7 linked regions of the Oryzias latipes genome follow. The protein of the gene in region 3 purifies or fractionates together with the protein of the main gene of each other region. This does not show direct contact. Links are inferred from orthologs where the notes say so. Each region holds a gene or a part of one and is shown on either strand. Other genes may lie near its edges. The genes, in order: ripk1, card11, map3k7, ubl carboxyl-terminal hydrolase 18, hsp90ab1, ikbkg and interleukin-1 receptor-associated kinase 1.

Region 1 (3,134 bases), on a different chromosome or scaffold from region 3:
CATAATTGCATTTTCTGATATTGCAATAATGGCAAATGTTTGATTTATTGTGCAGGCTTAGTTTACTTAAATGATTCTGAAACCCAATAAACCTGGTTCACTCAGCGCTCCGTCTTCTTAGGTCAAGGTGCCCATTTCCATCAAAGGCAGAATCATCCTCGAGGTTCTGGAAGGGATGATATACCTTACAGAGAAACGTGTCATTCACAAGGACATCAAGCCAGAAAACATCTTAGTGGATAAGGATTTTCACATCAAGGTAATGAAAAAAACTTAAGTCATAATAACGCCTAGCTTATTAATTCATTCATTTCCAGACACTAAATATTTCTTTTTAGATTGCAGACCTCGGCCTGGCCACCTGCCAAACATGGAGCAAACTCACAAAGGAGGAATCTCGCAGGAAAAGCCGTAGTGGACAGACATCCGGGGCTAGAGGTGCCGGCACGCTAAGCTACATGGCCCCGGAGCACCTGAGGAGCATCCACACCCCCTCCACTGAGAAGTCCGACGTTTACAGTTTTGGAATCGTAGTCTGGGTCATTCTAACGGGGGAGGAGCCATACGCCAGTGAGCTTTGAGATCCGTACACACGTTCAAAAGCTTTTTCCAGCATGAACGTTGAAGTTGCGGGTCCCCTGCTGCACCTTTTTATAAAACAAGCAACCGAAAATGTTTCTGTGCAGACGCGAGGAGTGAAGACCAAATAAGCCGGTGTGTTCGTGACGGAGACCGACCGGCAGAGGACCTCATTCCTGAAGACACACCTTCAGAGGTGGTTCAGCTTATGAAGCGGTGCTGGAGCGACAATCCAGAGGAGCGACCTTCATTTAAAGGCACGCGTCTCTTTGTGACAGACGCAACATGCAGTTGTTAAAACAGTGGAGTTAGTTTTTTTATGGCTCCAAAAGGATAGACGGACTTCTTGAAAGACACTACTCACAATAAGTTTGGGATATTGTTACTAACATGACTTGTTTTCCTATATCGTCACAATTTTGATGAAATATGTAAAAGTTCCCTATGATATTACTACTACCGTATTTTCCGGACTATAAGTCGCACCGGAGTATAAGTCGCACCAGCCCAAAAATGCATTATAAAGTAGAAAAAAACACAGATAAGTCGCACTGGACTATAAGTCGCATTTTAACTTTCACAACCTTATATGACACAATCAAAGCAGACTGTTTATCTAATAATTTCACAGTAATTTATTCTCATGCATACTTATTTATTTATTCCTTTCATGAAGCATCATTGGCCAACTAATACTCTGTTTTCATCCTGTATTTGTAGAAACAGTTTTTACTTTTATTGCATTTCTGAATCTATGAAATCATTGGAAAATAGAATATTATGTTGTTAGCCTTCAAGATCTTACTGTAAAAAAAAGTTTGCTGATTCTCTGAGTCACTTAACATCCTCTTAACACTTAACATACCTCATACAACAAATTGACCCAGGAACATCATCTCTGTTCCTCACAAATGCACATAACAGGAGGGTTAACAATGTATTTATTTCAATTTATTTCTAATATAAGTCGCTGCGCCGTATAAGTCGCACCCCTTGCCAAACTATGAAAAAAAGTGCGACTTATAGTCCGGAAAATACGGTACTAATAATAATAATAATACCATTTTCATTAGTTTTATATTTATTACCACAAATTAAGACCATAATAACAATGGCCCAGAATAACAAATATCAACTATTTCCACCATGACAGCTTGACAGTGACTCGTCACGAGCCTCATAATACGGTTCTGAGGAAAAGCCTTCCACTCCTTTACGAGTGCTACATCCAGTTCTGCCAGGTCACTGGGTGTGGAATACGATCGTCCCAGATGTGAGCGTTGGGGTTCAGGTCGAGGCTCATTGCTGGACAACCCATATGAGGACCTGCCACTTCCTTAAGTTGAACTGTGACAATTCTGGCACGATGTGGTGGAGCACCAGCAGCCATGAACAGAAATTTGGGGGGGTTGCAGGTAGAATTGGGGGATGATGGTGAGCTCTATGGTTTTGAGGTAATTACGTGCAATGACTAATGATGCTTGCTCAGACAGACTGATGCAGCTCCTCTATCATGTCGACCTCTGCGTATCGCTCACCTCACCCTCTCCAGCAACGCTGACGACCAGCAATTCTGTGTGAGGTGACCCGACACTCATGAGTGAACAGGGCAGCAGACCATTGCTGGATTGTCCAAGTCACATGGTCTCGCACTGCAAATGTTCACGGCGGTGTCTTGGTGTCAGTAGAGTCACCTGCAACAGTAGGCAGGTATTATAGTCAAGGCGGTGGAGCTGGTTGGGAATGGTTTGTCTGGAAACCCTAGTCCCCCCATCACATCTGGTAAATGGGCTTGCAGCTGTGCGGCGTTTGCTAAACCGTGTTGGAGGTCAGAGGTCCTTAGGTTCTGCTCATGGTTGCGGTCTGTCACTGGGTCTGTCCTGAACTCTGCCAGTAGTCTGCTGATGACACTTTGAGACAACCTCACCTGCAAAATCTGACCACCGACTACTAACCTGAATGCACGCTATGGCCAGGTGCCGCTGCTCGTTTGTTAAGTGACACTATGTGTTCATGGCTGTTTGAATGACCTCCTGACAAAAATCAGCTTTTTCTGTTTAAATAGATGCCCCATTGAAAAGGTTTTCCTTTTAGAATTGTTTGCTTTTGGTCCCTATGAGTAATCCACTGAGTTTTTCACAATATCCTTAACTTATTGTGAGTAGTGTAACTTCTCGCAATTACTCTAACTTTTCTTTTTATCTTTTTTTGCAGAAGCCTACGACATTTTCTGTCCTTTTTATGCCAAAAATCTGGAACCCCATATAGAGAACGATTTACAGGATCTGAAGGTGAATCCTTTGAGAGCAACCATTTAGGTTTAGCTTGAACAGAATTTATTTTTAACATTTAGTTTTTTTTTTTTTTTTAGTTTGGAGATCATCACAAGCAATTACTGCGTTAAATATATGAATGTATTTTCTTTTCTTTTTGCAGGAAAACTATGAGGGCCCAATGACACTTGTTGAGAAGATGAAATTACTGTCTGTGAGACATGACAGCTTTTTGACAAACGAGCAAGGTTGGTCTAAGTTTTATTCCAAACAAATCCTTGA
Region 2 (3,500 bases), on a different chromosome or scaffold from region 3:
GGCATTTCTCTTATCATCATATATACACATATGTATGTATGTGTATGTGTGTATATATATATATATATAAAATAAGCTTAAAATGGCATTTCTGAGTATTTCTTTTTTCAATTTTATGTCAATAGGGGGCAGATGAAAATGAGCAGAGCCTATTTGTGTCGTAGAAAATATGCTGGATGGGTCATAAGCTTCGTTCTGATGCATCCACTTGTAGACAATCACTTACATGTTTGTCTTTGTTTTCCTTGTCTGAGCTGGAATCTGGCTCAAAACTGTACGGCTGCATAGCTCCAATACTGCTTACCATTTTTGTTGCACCGGTAATGTTATGTTGGGGCTGTAAGCTAGCAGGAGCGCATGTAAACAGAGAGCTCTCAGTAATGGGGAAGGGAAGGGGGCGGGGTTGCTCCATGCCATTTTTCCTGCCCACAACGCAATGGTAAATTTCTAATGTTTGCAGAATTATGTCCTAGAAAACAAGACAAGTTTTTTGTTTTTGGCTAAAAGTGGCATAATCAAAATGAAAAGACCACTGGGAACAGTTGGAAAATAGATCAAAAGATGATCGGAGTGCATCTTTGAACTGTGTCACAGAAAACAGGAAATACGGATCTCTGTTAATTTGCAAGTGAACCCTGATGTGGTCACCACAGTAAAGATACAATGGACTGTTCTGTGGGTTAAAGAGAGGAAGTAAACTTATTGAAATCACAAAAGTGGCTTCAAATTTTAGGCGAAAATAAAATGATCCACAGCTAAGATATGAAGGAGTGTGGATCACTACAGTTGGATAAATGGCTAGTTTGTGGATGAGGATAATATAGACAGGAAATGGGTTTAAAAAATACTTTAATAGGATGTATAGTTTAACTTAAACTGCGTGATATTTTGATTCCATCTAGACTTATTCAGTTTTCTAAACTTTAGTGTGAAAGCAAATCAAACCATTTATTTTTTTCTGAACTTCCAGTCAAATCTAGTCTTCTGGTCTGTCTTGTTTTAAAAGTGCGTTAATGCTGTGTTTCTGCTCTCCAGCATATCGCCGTCTCCAGAGGGATCTAGCAGATGGTAAATTAGCTTCTGGCGACTCTTTCTACATCCGAGTAAACCTCAACATCTCCGGACAATCCGACTGCTGCTCTTTAAGCGTGCGCTGCGATGAAGTTGTGCACGTGCTGGATACCAGGCACCAGGGCCTCTGCCAGTGGCTTTGTGCTCGTGTGGAGCCATTTAGTGGCTCTGACCTGGCCGAGCGTGGCACCATTCCCAGCAACTCAAGGTACTTTGCAACTGTTTGTTTAATGTTCTTTCTCATGCAGGAGGATGTTTTATAATGGACAAAAGGAGTTTTGGTTTTGTTAAGACTTTTCTCTTGGTATGAATGGGTGTGTACAGAGCACAGCAGCTGCTGCTGGTGAAGATTCAAAAGTTGGTGTGTCGAAGTGGGAAAGAAGAAATTGACAATAGCAGAGTAAGTGAAAACTTGATTTTATATTCAAGCTACATATTACACAAAACAATTGTATAGTTTTTCATATCAATGCTATTTGATTTCAGCAGACACTTAGTAAGTTAGCTTCGATTTGGGTCAAACACTGTGTCTTCTTTACCTTTTGCAGCTTAAAGATTCTGATATTCTTTCTATTAATTCTTTATGTTTGTCTAGAACACTTTAGCGCCAGAAGAAACAAGCTCGTCTCTCGATCCCAAAGCCAGTCCACGCTTGTCCAGAGCGAGCATTTTCCTCAGTCAGATTCTGCAGGTATTTAAAGAAAACCAATCCCACTCTCATGAGTCAATCTGAGCCCTGATGTGCCATTTCTTGTGGGTTTCTTGGGTTTCTAGTTCGTCGGCAGGGTGGACATCAAATACAAACGAATGAACAGCAATGAACGCGTGAGGATTGTCAACTCTGGCAGCTCATTACTACCAAGACAAGAACTGGAGATGCTCAGGCCTGAAGGTGAGCATAGAAACAATGCTTTTCATGGATGTAAGGGGAATGACGGACCTTGGTTTGATTTTAGGACTAGGGATGCCACGATTCTCAGATAAATCATTGCATTCCTGTTTAGGACCTACTAGGACATAAAAAAATCAAAATCAAAAGTCTGGAACCACAAAGCCTAGCATAAATTCAGATATTCAGATATTTATGTCAAACTGAGAGAAGCTTAAAGGGAAATAAATATATTCTTCTTCTTACTGTTTGATGGTCAAGATTTCTTTAATAATTTATTTTAAGGTGGCAACTATGTTGTATTTATAGACTAATTCATATATTAACGGAACCAATTGTCTCTGATGTTACCTGTAGGATTCTAAATGATGAACATGAATGCCTAACCCTTGTGCTATCCTATGACCCCACCCTTACATTGACGTGTTCTCCCTACCATGACAAAGGTGGATAACGGTGAAGAGGATTTCATGTAATCCATGGACACCAGTGAAGTTTACAAATCATTGAAGAAAAAAGTTCAGGGGTCTAGATGACCCAACTTCCAATGTTAAAGTGCCTAGGATAGCACAAGGGCTAAAAAAGTGGCATGAACATACAGAGTAACTCCTATTCACTCAACAATTGGAGAACTGTCAATCAAGAAAGACCATAGAGATTCTGTTTTTTTTAGGCCACCCAAGACTGCAACCTTCACCCAATCACCCAATCTGCCTTGATTTCTTATAATTGAAAGATAATCCCCTCCCTCCCTGCTGCCCCTAGAGCTGCAAATAAAAGCACCAAATATTAAGAAGTGTTTTTTGACCAGGCAGAGCACAAGTGTATTTTTTGTGTGTTATTCTGCTCTGAACCTTATTTAACACAGTGGTTTACTGGAAGGTTTTGAAACCTGCCTCTGGTGGTTCTTTGAGGAACTGCAGAAGTAGCCACTTCCTAGTTTGATTAAAGTTCTCAGAAAATCTGTTTTTATTTTGTAACATCAGTATTACTTACATCTACCATATAACATTTTTCTGAAGGCTGACTAGAAATATTTATGTTAAGCTTTTGTTAAGCTGTGTTATTGTTTTATTAATTCATGGCTGATGCTCTGTAGGCTGATGAATTCATTAGAAAGACAAAGGAGAAAAACTCTTATCAAATTAGTGAAAAATAGATGGATCTCTCCAGGAGGCAGAAAAAGTTTTAGATGACAAAGAAAAAATGAAAGCTTTGTTTGTGTGGGAGTTAAGACTTGTGCTCTAAAAAACCAGAGGATCACACATAGAAAATGAAAGATTTCTAAAAATAAAATGTGAGAGCTAGAAGGGGGTTGAAGTCTCGGTGGAGGTAGAAGAAAGCTGTTTGAAGAATAAGATGAAAGCAAAGCAAAAATGTCTTTTGAAGTAAACAGAGCAAGAGTGTTTGAAATGTTAAAAAAATTACATTTACTGGTAGACTGTAATGTCTTTACCATTGCTTTGATTACCAAACGAAATAACAAAAGAGCAAAATGTATGAAAAAAATAAAACCTCAAGTTATAACAAATGAAACCAA
Region 3 (3,500 bases):
GTTTAATTCGTTTTATGCATACACAAGCCGCGTCAGAGTACAAGCCGCGCAAATGTTAGGCGATATTGTCATCCTGACCGATCACGGACAGCATCCCAGAGTGAGTGCAATTCATTAGCACATTGGGGGTGGTGCCAACTTAGCCTCTGGCTCATGTATTTGAGTGTATCGACATCTGCCAAACAGCATGGACCTCTATTCTGTTCACAAGTTCCTCAGTTATGGTGTTTTTATTTCATTTTTTTTTTACTTATTGACAATCTACGTATCATACATAAAATTACAAACAGTAACCATATAATCAACATTACATCCCTCAGTTATGATGAGGAAATTTACATCCGCGATTCCACATTTCCCATGAGTCTTAGGGGCTAAAGGCGGGGCCAATGCCCGGCTCGCCATTCTGTTGTACGTGTTTAAGAATGAGCAAGTATCAGCAGTGCATGGAGGGGTGAACGGGAAAAGCTCTCCTTCCGCTTGTGTCGCAGCAGCGTTATGGGAGTAACAGGGCTGGTTAAAAAACACACCGGTAAAATACAGCAGCGGCGACTGAAAAGCGCGCGCCTCAGCGCGATACGCGCGCCTCAGTGCGGCGCGTGCGTCAGAATTCAGAAGCCTCTGCGCTCCGCTCCCGCCCCGCGCGCTCCTTGTCTCCCCTTCCTATCTACTCCGACACCTCTGGCCAGGGCGGCTTCAGGGAGGAGCACTTCATCCCCGTTGCGCCGGTGGATGGAGCAAATAGTTTCTGTGCAAAGCAATCGGACTTAATACTATACGTTTTGTGTATGGGGGGCGGATGCGTTGTTACGTGTGGGAGCCATCAGACTGCCATCGGCCCCGCAGCTCAATCAGCAGGAGAAGATGTCTCCAGCTCACACGGAGGCTGTGAGTTTTTCAAAGCAAAATTCCGCTTTTACGGTTTCCTTAGAAACCGTAAATGGAGTGTAAATTCACTCCATGCGCTGTTCTCTCCGTCACGCAGCAAACCGGCTTTTCCAAACCCGTTGGTGACGGTGGACTTTTTCACGCTGCTTTTAACGATTGCTTTTAACTTGAAAGCTTCATCATATTGTAGCGGCGATCTGGTGCACGTTGGGTCTAATGGCACCAAAGGATTCTGGGATGCGGCCGGGCATGCGTGTTTCATTTTGTTGAACCATGACTGAAGTGTCTAAGACCTGAAGTCAACTCCATGCTGTTTGGCTGCTTAGAGGTGTGTTGAATATAAATGCCTTGTGCTTGGTGTTAGACAAAGAATTCAAACTATTCACTGAGTTCGAAAGTACGTACATGGCTGCCGCTAATTAAATCCATAAATTAGTCGCGTCACTGAATAAGCCGCAGGGCTGTAAGCGCAGGAAAAAAGAAGCGGCTTGTAGTCCGGAAATTACGGTAGTTTTTTTTTTTCTTTTCAGTTTTAGAAAGGGCCTGCTGAACATAATAGTTTTGTGTTTTTATCTGAGAAGTTTTTTTTTACTGCTTTTCAAATATAGGTTAGAGGATTTAGATAATGGAAATTGTTTTAATATCGCCTTCATTTTTATAACTGTGTTTTGTGTTGTTTTTTTGTGTGCCAAACATGCAAACAAACAGAGCAAAGACCTGAAATGTCCATGTCTCTGTGGTCTAAGTTGCAGTAAACTGATGCTGATTGGTTTAGATTCTGCTCTCACACACCAGCAGTCAGAGAGGATCACTTTGAAGGAGTTTGCTCGTGAAAGTATTTCATGTTTCACTAAGCAGTCCTTTAAACGCTCTGAAGTGGGATAAAAGCTCTGAGCTGCTCTGCTGATCAAATGTTTTGCCTCGTCTCCACTGAAAAGTCCGGTCCGGTATTTTGAGCTTTTCCGTTGTAAACTGGACCCACTAAACAGTACTGAACCGTACCTCTTGGGGAAACTGAACGGGTGAGCTTGAGGAATTGTTGTTGCTTTTCTAGTCCTCGTGCTGCAATGACATGCTAGCAGTCTGCACCACGCATGCGCCGTGAAAACAAACCGATCAGTGGAAGTGAGGTGGAAACACTCACCAGAATTAACTGGACGGTACAATACCACTCCTTACCGGACCTGACCGTGCTCGGTGGAAACGAGGCTTTTGATGCATTTTGGTCGAATTGTGAGGAACGTTTGCAAAAGTCTGTGGTGACCTTTGACCCAGCCTGGTTCTGCTGGACTCCTGCTGTGTGTACCCGGTGTGGTGACTGTGTTTCTTGTCCACAGTGCTGCATGGTGCTGAACCCCTCCCCTGTTACACTGCCTCCCATGCCATGAGTTGGTGTTTACAGTGCTCCCAGGGCGTGGCCTATCTCCATGGCATGAAACCAAAGGCTCTCATTCACAGGGACCTCAAGCCACCAAAGTACGCTCCTCCTCCTCTTGCTCTTCCTCGCGTCACACACTCCCCCGTCTCCTGCTGTACCTCACTGTACTCCACTGTTTTGTATGTTTTCTCATTACACCTCATCATGACCTTTCACTAGAATTCAGCACCAAAATTTACAGATTTTTACGACTGGAATAAAACTTCAGTTTATCTGCTTCCTATCCTTAAAATGCTGGAATTTTATTGGTTTCAAGTATCAAAAGAGTTTTAAAAATTCCTAATTATTCCAACACAGATCACAAAGTAAGGAGTGTTGTATCAGACAGCCGCTGTAGACGTTGAATATCTTTACTCTCAGTGAGATGATGCCAAAAATGCCAGTAGTTGTCCGTTTTCTTTTATTGTTCTCTTCAGACTACGGCTGACCGAGCAATATTTAATAAGAAAATGTTGAGAATTTGGTCTCTGCAAGTCACTTTGAATCAGTATTAAAAGGGGTTTGTTTTTCTGCAATGTGCACCCCCTCTAGAAAATCTGGTTTTGTTTTCCTTTAATTGTACAGGGGACATAAAAATGTAAACACACCACTATTAGAATATTTATTCTAATTTTTATTCTAAAAAGAAGAAAATTTCACTTGTTGGTCCAGACGATGACATCAACTCATTGACATGTGTCTGGCATAGTGCTCCTCATGGGTGGGGTGGGGTGCAGGGGGGCTTTTTTTTTTTTTTACCTCAGATAGGGATCAAACAAAGGCATGGGCCTTATAATGGCAACAGAATTTGACCCTTTTTTTAGGTAGGTCCTCGTTGGGTTAGACGGGTCATTTCTTCTGGTCCGAAACACGTCTGCTGTCATCAGGAGTCTTCTAAAATATTTCTGTTAAGCACCTGTGTCGTAAGTGTCAGACAGTCATCTAAGTGATCAATATTTTCTATTGACTAGACAAAGTATCGTCACACCATCCAGCCCTGCTGTAGAGTATAAAAGTACTACTTCTGAATAAACTTGGTACTACAAATAAATTACCTAGGCTGAATGTTGGTGGACCTTTAAAAATGATTAGAAAGCCAGTGTTTCTAATCCAGAGTCACCACTGCTGATTCAGATAATCCCAGTGATCCCGTCTTTGATAATCCATTGCAATCTTTTTAGGAGGAGTGACTGAT
Region 4 (4,159 bases), on a different chromosome or scaffold from region 3:
CTGAGATTTCTGCGCATCCTAACTCAGTTAAAGGTTTGACATTTCAGTCATATCAATGTGCATTGTGCTCAATTTCTTGTGCAGAAATAATGACTAGATCTTCCTAATTGTGGTTTGCAGATGCTATAATCCATAAACTCGAAGCTATGCTCAGGTTTTTATACAGAAAAATCTTGACAGCCGGTTCTGGCTTATTCCCTCTCCGGAGACTTTTCCTGATAGCTGTTATCCTCTACATGCTCTTCAGCAGACTGGATCCAGGTTTGAGAAACTCTTCCTCCTCAGTATGTTACTGTTGACTTTTTTATACCCTGTTGATTGGAAATAAATGAATGCCTTTCTTGTTTTTATTTTTTTTTACAGCTGCGCCGTCCTCATTTATGTGGATTTCCAAACTTTGTCAGCTCTTTAAACAGATGTGGAGAACCATGTTTGGACCTTATTATCAGACTCTCAGTCAAAAAGAATAATTGTGGAAACATTTAGTTGAATTGATCTAATTTGATTGTGTTTAATGGAAGGTCTTTACTTTAATTCTGTGTCTCTAACATTTGTTTAATTTCGTTTATAAATTAAAAATAATGATTTTATAGAAGTGCTTTACAAACGAGCAGTTATAGATTCTATTGCTTGATTATTAGTCAACAGCTTATTTAAAAGAGATCCATTGATCATTTAGTTAGAATCTTGAAGTAAAACCCAGGGAGGTGAACAGGAGGTAGACTGTATTTATGTTAAAATGTAGAATTTTGAAAAAACAATAGCTATAATATATTGCAGAGCACTGATTACCTTTTAGGTGTTATATTTTTAATAAAATCTTTATACCTCTAAAATTGTAGCCATAAATAAACTATTAACAATTATTTTCTTGTGTCCATTATTTTTAAGGACCCACTCCAATCATCTTTTGATCTATTTTCAAAGCCCCCCCCCCCCCCCCCCCCCCCCCCGTAATTATTTTTGCCATTTTTAGCCAAAGTAAAAAGGTGGTAGTAGTTCAAGCCTCTGAGTTGTTTGAAGGACTTTTTGGATGCAAGCCTACCCCCATTTCCCATCATCCATATGTTTACATGCTCTCCCACTAGCTAACAGCTCCTCACACCCAAGTGGTAAGGACACCTCCAACCTAACATTAATGGGCTCTGAGCCAGATACCAGCTTGGACAAGGAAAACGAAGACTTGCATGGATTATATTTGTCTGCAAGTGAATGCATCAGGCAGGGATCTTGTAGCCTGCCCATCATATTTTCAATGTTATACGATCTTTTTCAAACTGAATTTTGTTGTCAACTGCAGATTCACAATTTAATTAAAGAAATACTCAGAAATACAATTTTGAGCTTAATTTTCGTTATTTATACTCTGTTATCAGAAAAATGCATCAAGAACAAAAACTTCAAAAGCACCATTTTCATCAGAGTGGGTCCCTTAGGTGAAAATGACAGTGAAAGTGTGATGTTTTGATTTATAAAAGCAAATCCTGGGAGGATCAGAAAATTTCATAAAAAAATATTTATTTTGTAATGTTAAATTAAAAAAAGGCGTTCTTTAGTGAAGTCACGGGGCAATATTTTTTGCTGTTCCAACAGTTTTAAATGGAAATATACCTAAAGCAACAATATTAAGTGCTTAGAGATACGCAATGTTTAAAACGAGTTTTTTTTATAAATAAAGTTCGATTTTATCTGCGCATGTGCAGTAAATCCCATCTTTTTTTATTTTTTTTAACTTATATGTCTCTTAACAGGATGCAGAACACTTAACAGCTGATTTGTGGTTATAGACCTTCCTATAGGATATATGCCACGTTTTACAAATTTGCTTACTTTATAAATGGAGCTGTTAAGTTTCGTTTTACGCGCAGAGGCGGGTTAAACGAAAGCGATGCCGAGGATGATGATGTGATGAAGACTCAGCTGACAGTGCTTTGACTCCAGCAGAAACGTCAATATCACGGAAAAACTCGACAAGAAAGATTTATTCTACCAAAATAACCCGACGCCGGGTTAAACTACTCGACTTCGTTTAAAACGCAATGTCTTATGGGATTTGGAGGATTTTTCCAACGCTGTGGAACACTCAGCTCAGTAAGTTACATTTGTTGTCAACGAAGTTTTTCTTTTTCTTTTCATAAACAAAGTAGTTGAATTTTTATTTAGGATTAAACAAATAAGCAACTTTAAAAAATAAAATTATAATTTGCGCTCAAATTACACCAAAAAGGCTGATTTTACTACATTACTTTTTATAATATACATATATTGTTTTATATATGGTCTGAAGAAGTATTCAGTTAGTATACTTCCTACACTACATGTACATAGTGTATACATGCTATAATCACGTATACTTAATAAAATATACCTCAGGTATACTGCTTTTTAAATGAAACTAAAATAAAATAAAAAACAACCTGAAACTAATAAAAGAAAATCTGAAGAAAAGTAGAAATTTACTCATTAGGTTTTTTTGGGGACCTTTTTACTGCAATCACTAAACCTTCATCCTGTGTGATAAGAAATTCTTTTTTATATTATATTTTATAACATTTTTTATAAACTATCATGTTTAATTTTTGCTGTTCCATTTTTTAAGGAATGAGAGGCCTTGCCAACTACCATTTGTCCTGTTGTGTAAACACTTTGCTGCAGACCTTCTCTGCAACCTGGGAACTACTAGAACTTCTAGAAAGGTAAGTAAAGTAGTTACCATCCATGTGAAATACTAATACCTCAAGCATTGTTTGAAAAATGAAGGTTTTACATCTCATAAGACGTTTCGGTTCCCACGTATTGGTTTGTGGGACTGTTTGACCTCATAAAACCTGCTCAAATATTTGAAAAATGCAGTGGTGTCCACCTGGAAACAAGTCTTTGTTTCTTAGGTGCTAAAAAAACAAACAAACAGATAAATTAGGGCTTGTGAATTTCACAAGGTTGGAACCAGCTGTTGTGAGATCTGACAGTCGGAGCATTCCCCTGGAGCTGAAGAAAGTTCTCACGGCGATGCGGGGCGACCTCACTCAATCTGCTCCACATCGGGACTTCCTCCACTGTCTGGATAGATACTGCATTAGACGTAAAGGCCTCCACACCACATCTCAAAGTGAGATTATTGACGACAGCTTGTAACACAATTGATTTACAGTTGACACACAGCACGATGCTGACGAGGTTTTCCTCTCCATTCTGAACCTGATGCAGCAGCAGATAGATGACAGACATCTGGTTGGTCTTTAACACCCTGCTCATCACTTTTAAAGTTGTGCTATTTCTTCTTTACTGGTTGCTCTTTTGATCCCCAGGCTTTAGAAATCCAGGATTTGTACAAGATTTCAGTGGAGACCCATCTGCAGTGTCTGCAGTGCAACTCCATCAAAACCCTGGAAAGCTACCAGCTCAGCCTGCCGCTACACATAAAAGAAGATCACAACACTCTGGTGGGGTCAAATTGTTCCTCAGACCTTTTAAATTCCACATTTTTTAAAATCCAGGATGCACAGTGGTGTAGTGGTTAGCACTTCAAGGCCCTTGATACCTCTCTGTGTGGAGTTTGCATGTTTTCCCTGTCAAGACCGGTAATAGGGATGGGAAAAAAGAGCCCTCCTAAATCCTGCTGTGACTGCCCCCCATCAACTGTGATGGCTCTCAAAAATCCACACCTAATGACAAAATAAAACCCACAACATTTTCTTTAGCTTCTGTTCAATTGAATATTTGATTTAGGGGAGAAATAAAATTAGGATTTTATTCTTCCGACTGCTCCTTTCCTGTCATGAAGATGTGTGTGTAGTTATGTTTGTGTATAAATATGTTAATGTACTATGGTACTCTTCATGAAAGGAAACAAATGAACAGATTGGAAACCAAAAACAAACAAAAAAACCAAAAAAAAGAGTAAAATAAAAGACAAAGAAAACTTAAAAAAGGGACTGTTCTCTATGCATGTTTGATTTTATTTATTTATTTTTTCCTCCAGACTCTGTTTTACTCCCATGCTCGGAAAACATGCTTCATAGGTTAATTGGTATCTCTAAATTGATGGATTGCATGGCCCTGCAGCAGACTGAAGACCTGCTCAGGGTGTACCCCACTTTCAACCAACAGTGGCTTGGTTGGCTCCAGTGACCCCAAAAGAAATTAAGTGGATGCAGAA
Region 5 (4,245 bases), about 15 Mb from region 3:
TTCGGTATTCTTCCATGTGATTACAAAGACCTAGAGTGTTCGTTGATTCCGTAAAAAATACAGCGTGCTTTTAATTTTTGACATCCAGATATAGAGATTCTATACAAATACTTTTTTTTTTCAACAAAATTTTGACACATTTTTAGAATTTAGACAATTACTAAACGGAAGCTCGTAGATGTAGTTTTTGCTGTATCTTAAATAACCGCTAGATGGCAGCAAAAATCAAATACGATTGATTTTATTCTTAGTTTTGTTTTTAATATAATAAATTTATAACGTTTAGATTTTACCTCCTTGGCCAATCAAAATATTGTGCATGCTATTCCACTATAACTTTTTATCTGTTGATATAAATAATTACATATTTTTCTGGAGGAGCACAGTTAGTTCGAGAAGGAGCGCCGCGGAGGGATCTTGTCCTGCACTGAAACTCATGAGCATATAGATTCGGCGTGCAGCTCCAGAATCCTCCTTTCTTTTTCCTGCGTCAGTGAGCGGCAGGGATAGCACTTTTGTTGCATTTTATTCAAGAAAAGCCAACATAAGAAACAAGGTATGTCTTGGTAATTCACTTCATATTGAGGGAAACCAAACTTTAAATGGTTTATTATTATTCTACACCGAATGTTGAGTCATTTAACGGGTTTTTTTGTTATTTGATTTCGATTCACGTGGTTTGTTTAACCTTGATTCATCGATTAAAAGCATTTCTGACATAGCGGGTTTACTATTCTTAATTAGTAATGGGCTTTAGGTTAAATCTTGTACTAGTGACCGAAAATAAGTGGTGGGCTTTTGCCGCATCTTGTAGGCAGACAGAAGGTATGGAGATTTATTATTGTGAAGGTTGGTTGTACCTGACTGTTTAAAGAATAACATTACCATAGTTTAACGAGCGATTGACGTGTCTTTGTGTATATTTTGCCAACGAAGGATTCTAGATGGACTACTAGTTTAGAATCTTACACCCAGAGTGTGTACATCATGTACATCTTGCATAACCGACACAGGAGTGCTCGTGGTTTTTCGGGGTGATGGTAGTTTTGGGGGCTATTTTTTTGCAGTAAAGCTCCTGAGCGATAATCCAAAATCGTTCGATCTTGATATTCACGGAAGCTTCGGGTTTTTTCGGTTTTAGTCGGCACGTGCTTGCAGCGTCCATTGTCCATGCCTCGCCGCCATGTTTCGCTGCACTTCCGCCCGTATGTTGTAATCTGATGGCAGGGATCCGACTCTGAACCGGTTTCTGAATTGTGGTAGTTTATGGTTTAAAATTATTCATTAAAAAAAATTAAACTAAAAACTACAATCTTAGTAAAATAATTGGCAGTTTATTACCGTATTTTGCGTATTTGTAAGATGTTGTGCTTTTATTTTGGCGTTTCCTGTTGGTTCATCCCATTATTAGTCTGACGCTGTTTGTTGCAAACCTGTTATTTCTTATGCAGATGCCTGAAGAAATGCACCAAGAGGAGGAGGCTGAGACCTTTGCCTTCCAGGCAGAGATTGCTCAGCTGATGTCCCTGATCATCAACACCTTTTATTCCAACAAAGAGATCTTCCTCAGGGAGCTGATCTCCAATGCCTCTGATGTAAGTCTGCAGCAGTTTACGTAACATCGTATCACCTCTGTGTCAATACAGTGAAATATCTTGACGCTGAATTATTTTTAGGCTCTGGACAAAATCCGCTATGAAAGCTTAACTGATCCCTCCAAGCTGGACAGCGGCAAGGATCTGAAAATCGACATCATCCCCAACAAGGCTGACCGCACCTTGACCATTGTTGACACTGGAATTGGCATGACCAAGGCTGACCTTATCAACAACCTGGGTACCATTGCAAAGTCTGGGACAAAGGCTTTCATGGAAGCCCTTCAGGTATTAATATAAACAGGCATAAAGGGGAAAAATACATATACACATTTATATATTTTTTTAGCAGAAGTGAATACAAATTGTGGAACTTTGCCGTTTTCTTCAGGCTGGAGCCGACATCTCCATGATTGGTCAGTTCGGTGTGGGATTTTACTCTGCCTACCTCGTCGCTGAGAGGGTGGTGGTTATCACCAAGCACAACGACGATGAACAGTACGCCTGGGAGTCCTCTGCTGGGGGATCCTTTACCGTCAAGGTCGACAGTGGTATGGATCTTCAAATATTATAATTATGGTGCAACAAACTAAAATCTGACTGTGAAACATTTGTTAACCTCTACAACACTGTTCTCAGGCGAGCCCATTGGCCGTGGAACAAAGATCATCCTGCACCTTAAAGAAGACCAAACGGAGTACATTGAGGAGAAGAGGGTCAAAGAGATCGTGAAGAAGCATTCTCAGTTCATCGGCTACCCCATCACCCTCTTTGTAAGTGATTTGTTTGTTTTTTTACAAACATATTTCTCACTAATAGAAGCTTATGTGGAGTTGTACGTGGTTTATCTATAGGTGGAGAAAGAACGTGACAAGGAGATCAGTGATGATGAGGCAGAGGAGGAAAAAGAAGAGAAGGAGACCAAGGAGGAAGGTGAGGACAAGCCAAAGATTGAGGATGTGGGCTCAGATGATGAAGAAGACGCTAAAGACAAGGGCAAGAAGAAGAAGAAGATCAAGGAGAAGTACATTGACCAGGAAGAGCTGAATAAGACCAAGCCCATCTGGACCAGAAACCCTGATGACATCACGAGTGAGGAGTACGGCGAGTTCTACAAGAGCCTCACAAACGACTGGGAGGATCACCTCGCTGTGAAGGTAAAATAGAGGTTTGGGTGTCTTCTGATCGGCTGATGGAACCTCGTGCTGACGTGTGTTTCTCTTTTAGCACTTTTCAGTGGAAGGTCAGCTGGAATTCAGGGCTCTGCTCTTTGTTCCTCGTCGTGCACCTTTTGACCTCTTTGAGAACAAGAAGAAGAAGAACAACATCAAGCTGTACGTCAGGAGAGTCTTCATCATGGACAACTGTGAAGAGCTCATCCCAGAGTACCTGAGTAAGTTTTAAATCTCTGTTCCACCGGATCTGAAAGGAAATGCACAGCAGCTTTAAAACGTTTTTGTTTGTTTACAACAGACTTCATCCGTGGAGTGGTGGACTCTGAAGACCTGCCCCTCAACATTTCAAGAGAAATGCTGCAGCAGAGCAAGATCTTGAAAGTAATCCGCAAAAACATTGTCAAGAAGTGCCTGGAGCTGTTCGGAGAGCTGGCAGAAGACAAAGAAAACTACAAGAAATTCTATGAAGGTTTCTCAAAGAACATCAAGGTATCTCAAACATATCTGAAGCTTTTCTAAATGATGCCTATAAACTGATGGATTTTTTTTTTCCTGTAAACTTTTAAGGTGTGAAAATAAATCGACACATATTTAGCGTGAAGCCTTGGAATTGGGCAACGCTTGCTGCATTACCCAGAATTTAGTTGAGTAAATCGATCACAACTTTTATGTTCACAGCTCGGCATCCATGAGGATTCTCAGAACCGTAAGAAGCTGTCTGAGCTGCTGCGCTACCACAGCTCCCAGTCTGGAGATGAAATGACTTCCCTCACAGAGTACCTTTCTCGCATGAAGGAGAACCAGAAATCCATTTACTACATCACTGGTAGGTTTGGCTTCCAGTCCATATGTTCTTTTGTTGATTCTTTTGGCACGACTTAAGTTTTTGTTTTTTGCCTCTGAAGGTGAAAGCAAGGACCAGGTTGCCAACTCTGCTTTCGTGGAGCGCGTCCGCAAGCGTGGCTTCGAGGTCCTGTACATGACCGAGCCCATCGACGAGTACTGTGTTCAGCAGCTGAAGGAGTTTGATGGCAAGAACCTGGTTTCTGTCACCAAAGAGGGCTTGGAGCTGCCAGAGGATGAGGAGGAAAAGAAGAAGATGGAGGATGACAAGGCCAAGTTTGAGAACCTCTGCAAGCTCATGAAAGAGATTCTGGACAAGAAAGTAGAGAAGGTTGGTCTCAAATAAGAAACTGTGCTTTTGCTCCTCATTTCTTCACCATCATTTCCTTAACTTCAGTGGTGTTTTGTTTGGAAACAGGTTTCCTAGTGGTAACTACTTATATTGGTGAGTTCATACAGAGTAGAAGTGGCCTGTAGAGTTTCTAGCGTTGCCTGATATTTGAGTTGAAAGGGTTTGGTTTTGCAAGAGCCTGATAAGTCTGACAGCGACGTGAGTTCTAACAATGTTTGTCTTTTGAGGCTGTGTCTAACACTCGATGAAATCAGCATCACACAAACGGCCTGAACCGCAT
Region 6 (3,959 bases), on a different chromosome or scaffold from region 3:
CGGAAGAAGGAAAGGGGATCTTCCGGAATTTAGATTCCCTGCGCTTTACCTGACAGGCAACTTTTGACGCGGCCTAATTTTGGTGCCCAATTTTTTTTTAAAATTCCTCCAAGATGTAAACACTTCTTTATGGCTGTCTCTTCAGTTCAAACTGCTAATGTACGGTGTGCTGCTGCAAGCTAACATGTTAAATAATACAATATTGTATAAACAGATGCAAATTCTGATTATTTTGTTTTCAACATCAAATTTAACATTCTGTATACAGCACTTTTCCTACTAGAGTAACACAAAGTGCTTTTCTGACTTCAAACAATTAAAACTGAAATTATAAAACATAGAGTGCCCTCAACCCTCCCGACTGCCCACTCCCTATCTAGATGAATCCATTTAAATCCAGTTTTCCTAAAGAACTGAATCCTGTGGGAACATGAGCTGGATCCCCACATTGTTGTGTTTGTGTTACTCCCCATGTGTCATTAGCACACGGCTGGCTTTTGGTGCAGGTCAGAGGCGGCAGCTCATGTGAGAACAGAAAAACATTAGTATTGATTTTAAAAATTGGCTATTTTTACTAATTGGGGCTTTTTCAAAGTGCATACTATCAAATTATTGTCTCAGTCATGGGTCCAAAGCGCTCCAGGTTCAAGTTTTTAATCCCGTTGTCGATTCGTGGCAGACCCTCTTCATTTTATCTGTTCTGTTGTCTGGTTCCCTTCATTATTGAAGTTTTAGGATGTTTATTGCATTGATTTATTCAAGCAGTTTCTTTCATCAAGTGTCTGTTTCTTTGTGTGTGTCAACCAGTCATCCCTGATACTTGAACAAGTGTTGCAGTTTCTGCAATTTGCTTCTTCTTTGATTTTTCTGCTTTTTCTTTTTTTTTGGTATCATCACCCCCCCCCCCTAAACCTGACTTTGACTTTGCTGAGTTTGCAATGTTTTGTGATCCCACTCAACTTTCACTGTTTTATTATTTTTTTATATTTCACTGTAATATATTTGCAAGCTTTATCAATTAAAATAAAGTAGAAAATCTTATATTTATAAAACCTAATTCAGCAGGAAAACTTTACACACTTGTTCGTGCTTAAAATAAGATACTCAAACCGTTCCCCTTTCAGATCTACAAACCGGAGAACCGACACCTGAAAGGCAAAACTCAGGGTTAAAATATTCGAGGAATTTTCCGAGCTAACAACAGTCGCCTCGGCTCGGACGAAAACCCCGTAGCGAACGTGAAGCAAAGGAAGAAAAGGCCTCCTACATCCACACAGAATGTGCCTTTAAGGTTCGATAGTCTGCCAGCGTGAAGCTGTGTTTATGACAGCCGAGGAGCGAGGCCGCTTTCCCAGCCCTTCACTGCCGCATTAGCCTAGCTAGCTAAAAATTAGCCAAAATAGTGCTTCTGGACTCGTCGAGCTTCCTTCCTGGCGCAGGTTTGAGGGGGGGACTGTAAAAACTCTGGATGTGTGTTATTCTGGACAACAAAGGGAAAAAGAAGTTAAGGTAAGAGAGATCCTGTCCTTGTTTTGTTAAAATAAACTAGTATGTATGCGTCCAAACTGTTCAGAGACAGTCACGGATGTCCAAAAACCAAAAAAACATCAGTCTAGTTTGGAATTAGGTCGTTGATTTTATTTATTTTTTCTGTTAAAATCCAACTGCGTTCTCTTTACTTTCATTTTTAAAGCTATTTTAAACCCAATGTGTCTTTTATCCCGGCCTAAGGTGTGATGACGATGACGTAATGTTTTCCTTACCTGCAGTCATGTTCATGGATGACGTCCACATGTTTTTTTTTTTTTTTTTTTAGCAGAGAGGCTGAAGCCTTTAAGGAGCAGATCTGCTTCATATTTTCAACAAAAATGAGTAAAAGAATCAAAATGAAAGTGAAAGTCTGGTCCTGGTGCACATGTCAGGGCTCAAACCTGTTTCCACGCTTACGGACTGGATGTTGACTTTGACAGGTGTGTGATGATAATCCACTGTAATCCTGCAGGAATGGTCCAGCCGCAGCCCGACGGCCCCATGCAGTGGGACATGTCAGGGGAGGACAGTGGCGGGGCCCTCAGGGTCCCACCGGAGCTTGCTGGTCATGAGGTGGTGTCCAGATTACTGTGTGACAACCAGCAGCTCAGAGGTATCGCACCCACGGCTTCGCTCACACAACTTTTAACGAGGATTCTTCATCTGACCCTGTTTACGCTTTCTTTTCTTTTCAATTTCTCATCCATGACAGGAACATATTTTTTTTTTTTTTTAAAGTTAAATACATTTTAGGTCCGGCGGGGTGGAGCTCGCTTATAATCAGAGGCTGACTTCTTAAAACATTGTGGTATATATATTTTAGTTTCTGCTTTAGTTAACTCAGCTTTTTAACTGACATATTTTATACACGTAAAAGCAGAAAATAAGAGAAGCTTAATTCAAAACAAATCTATATGTGGTTTAACCATCTTTTACACTATTTTAGTTATTTACCATATTTGCCTGTTTTGTAAACGGAAAAAAATCAGAAAAACAGAAATAATTAATTATTTAGCTCCTTCATAGTTTGGACCTCTCCCTCTGGATCGGCTGCTCTTCAGCCACTGCGGCTCTGGATGGGAACCTGCATCACTGCTTAGCTGTGGTGGAGCGGTCCCCGCCTGTGATGCTGCATTTGGCTGGTTATGCGGCTGTTCACAGAAAGGGAGGTTCCAATTATTAGCGTTTCCAACATATTGTCTTCATACTTCTTTTTTATTATTATTTTTCTTTTTATGTTAATTGTTGTTTTATGTTATTTATTTTGTTTTGTTTTAATGTAAATCACTTTGTGTTATACTTTTATATGAAAAGTGCTTTATAATTAAAGTTTGATTGATTTATAGACCCACTCTGATGAAAATTAAAAATTTTTTTTTTTTTTTTTTTTTTTATCATCTTCTCAGATGTCTTAGAAAATTTAGCTTGCAGGGTATTTCTTTATTCAAATTGTTGTGAATCAGGAGTGTGTGGTGAAATGCTGTTTGACAAAGAGCTTATTTGTGATGTAGAAAATATGATTGGCGGGCCACAAACTTCCTGCTCCGCTCCATTCTGATGCATCCACTTGCAGACAAATAGATCCATGTGCGTCTTTGTTTTCCTCGTCTGAGCTGGAATCTGGATCTAAACTGGACGGATGGATAGCTCCAATATTTCTCAGCATTTTTGTCACTCCGGTAGTGTTAGGTTGGGGGTGTGAGGGGCTGTAAGCTAGCAGGAAAACGGGTAAACAGGTGAGTGACGGGAAGTTGGGGCAGGCTTACTCCACGTCAACAGTCCCGCCCACAACTCAGAGGTCAATTTTTGATGAATCGCTGCCACTCTGCAGGAATTATGTCCTTGAAAATGGCAGTCTTTTTAGATTATGGCTAAAAGTGGCCGCATTATATCAAAAAGACCACTGAGAACGTGTTTAAAAATAGATCAAAAGATGATCGGAGTGGGTCTTTAAAGGATATTTTTGGTTAAAATGGAGTGACGGATACTTCAAGCTGCCCTGAACGCACACAGGAAGTTGGTTTCATGTCTAGCAGATGTAAATACACATTCAGATGTGGTAAATGCTGTCTCTTCTATCTGTGAATAGTATCACAGCATAAGAACAGAGTCAGGGCAGCAAAGTTTGGATAAACTTCTGTGTGAGACCGAAAGACGAAAGTCGTACTTTATGTTTGCTCCTCCAGAGGCACTGCGGAGAAGCAACCAAGCTCTCCGCCTGCGCTGTGAAGAGATGGAGGGATGGCAGCAAAGAACCAGAGACGAGCGAGAGTTTTTGAGCTGTCGCTTCCAGGAGGCCAGGGCCCTCGTGGAGAGGCTGGCGCAGGAAAACCACTCGCTGAAGGTCACGGCGAACGGACCAGGCTCCTCCCCGTCTTCCGGTCTGTCCTGCAGCTCAAGTCAGACTGAAGACCTGCAGGGACGCCCGG
Region 7 (4,022 bases), on a different chromosome or scaffold from region 3:
GCTTTTGGTGGCATCTAAGTAGCTTTTATGTAATATACATTTATATATATTTATACATATATATAAATACATAATATATTATACATAATATATGTATGTATACATCATTTGTTACTGTTAAATAAGAGAAACAGTCAACCTTAAAACCTCAAACTTTAATGAAAAATGCACAGTTGCAGAACTTCTTGAAGTAAAGAAATTATTACAAATAATTTCTAAAAATAATTTTAGGCATTTAGAAGTTTTAGACCTCTTTGACATGTAATTTAAATTATTTAGAAAGGCCCAACAATAATTCGATAAGAACAACAATAATAATAATAATAGATCATAATAAATCAATAGTGAGTCAATAAAAATAATACATAATAGCAATAAGTAAATAATAAGTCAATTAATAATAATAATAAATCAATAATAAGCAAATAACTAATAATGATAATAATAATAAATCAATAATAAGTCAATAAATAATAATAATAAATAAAATAAATAAATAGTACATCAACAAAAAGTCCAAAAGTTAACAATAGATTTACCCTAAAAGAAAAGAAAAACCAAAGACAAAAAATAGATTTACTGATTTATGTGAGTGATGAACTTGTGTAACACAGATGGTATGGTGTCTGGTTTCAAGCAAACAGTCTGGCCTCTCATCAAAATGTGTTTCCACAAAATGTTTTGAACATATCCAGACTGTATTGTTAGTTGGTACCACAGTGATCCATCTGGGTTAGCTCTTTTGATAGCTATTAAGGTCCACTTTCCCTTAAGTCTGAATTCATTGGAAACCTGCAAGAAAAGTTCAGTCACTGAGTCAGAAATGTATAAATCTATGTTACTATAATAGAATACTCCTAGTATACTGTATACAGGTTTAACACAATAAAGTTTAAATTTATGTCAACAGAAAATTATACGTACATTATGCAGCATGTTGATAACAGCCCTGCAGCATCATGCATGTCAACATGTGTACTATTAATGAAGCCCCTGCAGCATTAAAAGGAAAAAATTATAGTCCTTACCTGTGAAATGTTATGCCTTCCTCCTTCACTCATTTCTCCGATTTTGTCAGTTGAAACCCGCACAATGAACTGGTATGTTGCAAAAACTGTGTTCACATGCTTGCACTGCAGCAGTGACTTGACCTCACCAAGATGGCGATGCTCTCCTCCCATGAGGAATCACGTGATGTCTCCTCTAGCGATAAAAGTCATTGGATATAACTCATTGACAGACAAAAGCCCTGCGACCGGAAGTTCACTGAATCAGAACTTCTGAACTGAAGGGAAACTTGGGTGTGTTCCGGGCGGCACCGGCACCGATGCAACCCACGTGGCTGTGGTTCTGGCGTAACTTTTTTACCCACCATCCCCAAGAACCGAGCTCAGTGGAATAAAACATGTCGGGAGGGTCACTGCGGGGGGAGTTCCTCCACAAACTGCCCTCCTCTGTATTATGGGAGTTCTGCCGGCTCATGGACGGGCTGTCGGACCTCGACTGGACCCGCTTTGGTGAGTCAGAACCAGAATTTAAACTTTGTGCTTATTTGTTAACAGTTAAGGGCGCCACAGGTGGGCTTCACGTAACACGCGTACTGCTGTTGTCACGTGACTGACTTGGGACGTCGTCAGGTGTTCCTCACGTAATGTTTCTTCAAAACGGTGAATGTACAGCAGGATTCCGTGTTTACATTGATGTCTAAAAAAACGAGACGCCCTCGCAGTTGTTTGTTGTTGTTTCTGGTCGTCGCGCTCATTTCAGGAAGTCAGACACGTGACACGCAGCAGGCGCGTGCGACCCAGTCCTAAAAAAAACCAACGCCAACAGTATCACCATCATTCCCTGTTCGCCCCCAGACCAAACCTCTGTCTCTGGAACATCAATGTACCTTCAAAAGGTTTTTTGGAGTAACATTACTACAATCTGGAAGCTGCTGGGGGGGGATACACAAACACACCCTATACCTGAAGGAATGAAATACCACACAAAAACTGAAACTGTTAATGAGAATTAAATGTAGCCTGTGGAGGTGGAATCATACTGAAAAATAAAGTGGAAAACCTCTACAGGCTGATCCAACTTCAATTTGAAACAAGTCAAAATGCGTCTCAGTAGTGGGTGTGACCTCCACTTATCCGTATGAATCGGAGGATGGTCTCCCAGGGGATCTTCTCCCACATCTGGACCAAATCTTCCACCAACTCCTGGGCCGGCTGTGGAGCAACCTGGCGTTGGTGGATGGACGGAGACGTGATGTTCCAGTTGGATTCAGGTCTGGGGAACGGGCGAGCCAGTCCATTTCTTCAGCACCTCCGTCTAGCACAAGGGGGCTCATTAGGACGATCCATCACGAAGGATGTCATGGTAGATTGAGGGCCATCAAAAAAATTATATGTTGTGAAATATGTATTTTTTAGTAATTATTCGTAATTATCCGCATCGTAAACTTGATTGACAAGCAGAACATCCAATCGAACCTCCTCTTCACTGCACACAACTGTTTAAACACACTGAGCGCCAGACGCAAGGAGAAAGTGGGCGTGTGTGTTAGCCTGGTGACAGCTCAGACTCTTCCTGGAAGGGGCTGTTCTTCACTTTGTAACATCGCAAGGAGAGAATTGTTTTTGTGGATTGTCAGGGGCTGGTGCTCAGAGAGCAGGTTTTGAGAGGAATACAGTAAACCCTTGTTATTCGCGTGGGTTACGTTCCAAAAAGAACCCGTGATAGGCAAAATCCGTGAAGTAGAAACCTTTATATTTTTTTTACAATTATTATACAATTAAATACTCTATTATACATTGAAAAGAAAGAACAAACCATTTTACAGGCTCAAGCATTTGTGTCACAAATAAAAGTACTTTAGAAACGTGAAACCGTGAAAAGTAAACCGCATACCGCATTAGCGAGGGATCACTGTACTCATAAATGCATGAATTGATCAAAATACCACTTTTTTTTCGTGAGGAACAAACATTATAATAAACTAAAAAGCTCAAAAAATTATATAGCATGATATAGGCCCGTTAATGACACCCAAACGACAGAAGAAAGAAGCTAAAAGTCGACAAAAATACACAGAATTAACAACCTGTTTAATGCATTACATGAGGCAATCCACAAAAAGTGTATTCAAGACGAACAGCAATTGTTTTGAGCTGATCCCTGTGTTGTTTTGGGGTCTGCTATAAATCTATTATCTGCACAGAAATATATACTCCATATATATATATGCGACTCCACCTTGGGGCCGTCCAGCATCAGAAACAGAACCCCTCTGGGAAAACACTAGAACTCTTTCATCAACTCTGCAATCACTGCTTTCAGTTTCTCACAGTAGACTGGACTGAGTTTTTTGTTATCTCCCTGTTTTTACATGCTTTACATTATTTAGGGAGTTTTTTGTTACTGCAGGAACTATCCTGTTTTATTGTGTTGAGACGAAAAAAGATCAGTTTTTTGTGCCAACCCGTTGGAGGGCGTCATTACTACTGTACACCACATCAGAGGAGGGACAAGGCAGGCAGACGCCACTCTACAGTGGAAACGATGTCGCCACAATGATGTAAACAAACCTCTAAAACTCTAAATTGAGACTGTAAACTTAGGACTGATAGTGAGAAATGAGAAAACCAACATTTAAAATACAAACAGCAGCGATTACAAATTCTTTTTTTTACAGTTTTAGGTTGATAGTTTTTTCAGTGTTTCTTCACTTTTGAAATAATTTTTTTTTTCAAATATACAATGCATTTTTCAAAATTTCAATATTTATTTATTTATTTTAACTTTTTATTTTACGTTTTGCACTTTTAAAATACAACCAAGTAACAATAAGAAACCACAATCAAGTAAAGTAAAAAATAAAAGATAAAAATAACTAATAATAATAAAATGCACAAAAACAAAATACCAAAGGTTGAACAAGTGGGGTCCAACAAAACATAGTTTTGAGTTTTAAGTTCTGAGCGGGATGAATATTGCTTCCATTTCCTCCATTGGAGTTGACATTTTTCAGC

The links.
Region 1: the proteins of map3k7 (region 3) and ripk1 purify together in Homo sapiens (affinity purification with western blotting; 5 studies listed by BioGRID, with this or other methods). This does not show direct contact. The link is inferred for Oryzias latipes from reciprocal best matches to the Homo sapiens genes MAP3K7 and RIPK1.
Region 2: the proteins of map3k7 (region 3) and card11 purify together in Homo sapiens (affinity purification with western blotting; 3 studies listed by BioGRID). This does not show direct contact. The link is inferred for Oryzias latipes from reciprocal best matches to the Homo sapiens genes MAP3K7 and CARD11.
Region 4: the proteins of map3k7 (region 3) and ubl carboxyl-terminal hydrolase 18 purify together in Homo sapiens (affinity purification with western blotting; 4 studies listed by BioGRID, with this or other methods). This does not show direct contact. The link is inferred for Oryzias latipes from reciprocal best matches to the Homo sapiens genes MAP3K7 and USP18.
Region 5: the proteins of map3k7 (region 3) and hsp90ab1 purify together in Homo sapiens (affinity purification with mass spectrometry; 3 studies listed by BioGRID and IntAct, with this or other methods). This does not show direct contact. The link is inferred for Oryzias latipes from reciprocal best matches to the Homo sapiens genes MAP3K7 and HSP90AB1.
Region 6: the proteins of map3k7 (region 3) and ikbkg purify together in Homo sapiens (affinity purification with western blotting; 8 studies listed by BioGRID and IntAct, with this or other methods). This does not show direct contact. The link is inferred for Oryzias latipes from reciprocal best matches to the Homo sapiens genes MAP3K7 and IKBKG.
Region 7: the proteins of map3k7 (region 3) and interleukin-1 receptor-associated kinase 1 purify together in Homo sapiens (affinity purification with western blotting; 5 studies listed by BioGRID). This does not show direct contact. The link is inferred for Oryzias latipes from reciprocal best matches to the Homo sapiens genes MAP3K7 and IRAK1.

The regions. Positions count from the first base shown.
Region 1 is NC_019875.2:26,469,443-26,472,576, reverse strand, and holds part of ripk1 (receptor-interacting serine/threonine-protein kinase 1), read left to right. Parts: intron 1-121; coding exon 122-259; intron 260-338; coding exon 339-570; intron 571-686; coding exon 687-836; intron 837-2,793; coding exon 2,794-2,870; intron 2,871-3,015; coding exon 3,016-3,100; intron 3,101-3,134. UniProt on the Homo sapiens protein: Serine-threonine kinase which is a key regulator of TNF-mediated apoptosis, necroptosis and inflammatory pathways.
Region 2 is NC_019866.2:18,997,846-19,001,345, reverse strand, and holds part of card11 (caspase recruitment domain-containing protein 11), read left to right. Parts: intron 1-1,035; coding exon 1,036-1,279; intron 1,280-1,395; coding exon 1,396-1,471; intron 1,472-1,666; coding exon 1,667-1,762; intron 1,763-1,845; coding exon 1,846-1,963; intron 1,964-3,500. UniProt on the Homo sapiens protein: Adapter protein that plays a key role in adaptive immune response by transducing the activation of NF-kappa-B downstream of T-cell receptor (TCR) and B-cell receptor (BCR) engagement.
Region 3 is NC_019882.2:20,585,333-20,588,832, reverse strand, and holds part of map3k7 (mitogen-activated protein kinase kinase kinase 7), read left to right. Parts: intron 1-2,225; coding exon 2,226-2,364; intron 2,365-3,500. UniProt on the Homo sapiens protein: Serine/threonine kinase which acts as an essential component of the MAP kinase signal transduction pathway. Plays an important role in the cascades of cellular responses evoked by changes in the environment.
Region 4 is NC_019881.2:17,754,356-17,758,514, reverse strand, and holds the start of ubl carboxyl-terminal hydrolase 18, read left to right. Parts: upstream 1-1,359; 5' UTR 1,360-2,039; coding exon 2,040-2,091; intron 2,092-2,599; coding exon 2,600-2,696; intron 2,697-2,939; coding exon 2,940-3,082; intron 3,083-3,151; coding exon 3,152-3,231; intron 3,232-3,308; coding exon 3,309-3,443; intron 3,444-4,159. Other genes in the region: pex26 (peroxisome assembly protein 26), read left to right, coding at 1-33, 121-261, 364-470. UniProt on the Homo sapiens protein: Interferon-induced ISG15-specific protease that plays a crucial role for maintaining a proper balance of ISG15-conjugated proteins in cells. Regulates protein ISGylation by efficiently cleaving ISG15 conjugates linked via isopeptide bonds.
Region 5 is NC_019882.2:5,881,900-5,886,144, forward strand, and holds the start of hsp90ab1 (heat shock protein HSP 90-beta), read left to right. Parts: upstream 1-1,445; coding exon 1,446-1,595; intron 1,596-1,676; coding exon 1,677-1,883; intron 1,884-1,986; coding exon 1,987-2,146; intron 2,147-2,234; coding exon 2,235-2,368; intron 2,369-2,449; coding exon 2,450-2,752; intron 2,753-2,822; coding exon 2,823-2,988; intron 2,989-3,068; coding exon 3,069-3,259; intron 3,260-3,448; coding exon 3,449-3,596; intron 3,597-3,675; coding exon 3,676-3,944; intron 3,945-4,031; exon of another isoform or gene 4,032-4,058; intron 4,059-4,245. UniProt on the Homo sapiens protein: Molecular chaperone that promotes the maturation, structural maintenance and proper regulation of specific target proteins involved for instance in cell cycle control and signal transduction. Undergoes a functional cycle linked to its ATPase activity.
Region 6 is NC_019865.2:4,851,536-4,855,494, reverse strand, and holds the start of ikbkg (NF-kappa-B essential modulator), read left to right. Parts: upstream 1-1,159; 5' UTR 1,160-1,509; intron 1,510-2,002; 5' UTR 2,003-2,004; coding exon 2,005-2,143; intron 2,144-3,716; coding exon 3,717-3,959. UniProt on the Homo sapiens protein: Regulatory subunit of the IKK core complex which phosphorylates inhibitors of NF-kappa-B thus leading to the dissociation of the inhibitor/NF-kappa-B complex and ultimately the degradation of the inhibitor.
Region 7 is NC_019865.2:30,205,417-30,209,438, forward strand, and holds the start of interleukin-1 receptor-associated kinase 1, read left to right. Parts: upstream 1-1,222; 5' UTR 1,223-1,405; coding exon 1,406-1,517; intron 1,518-4,022.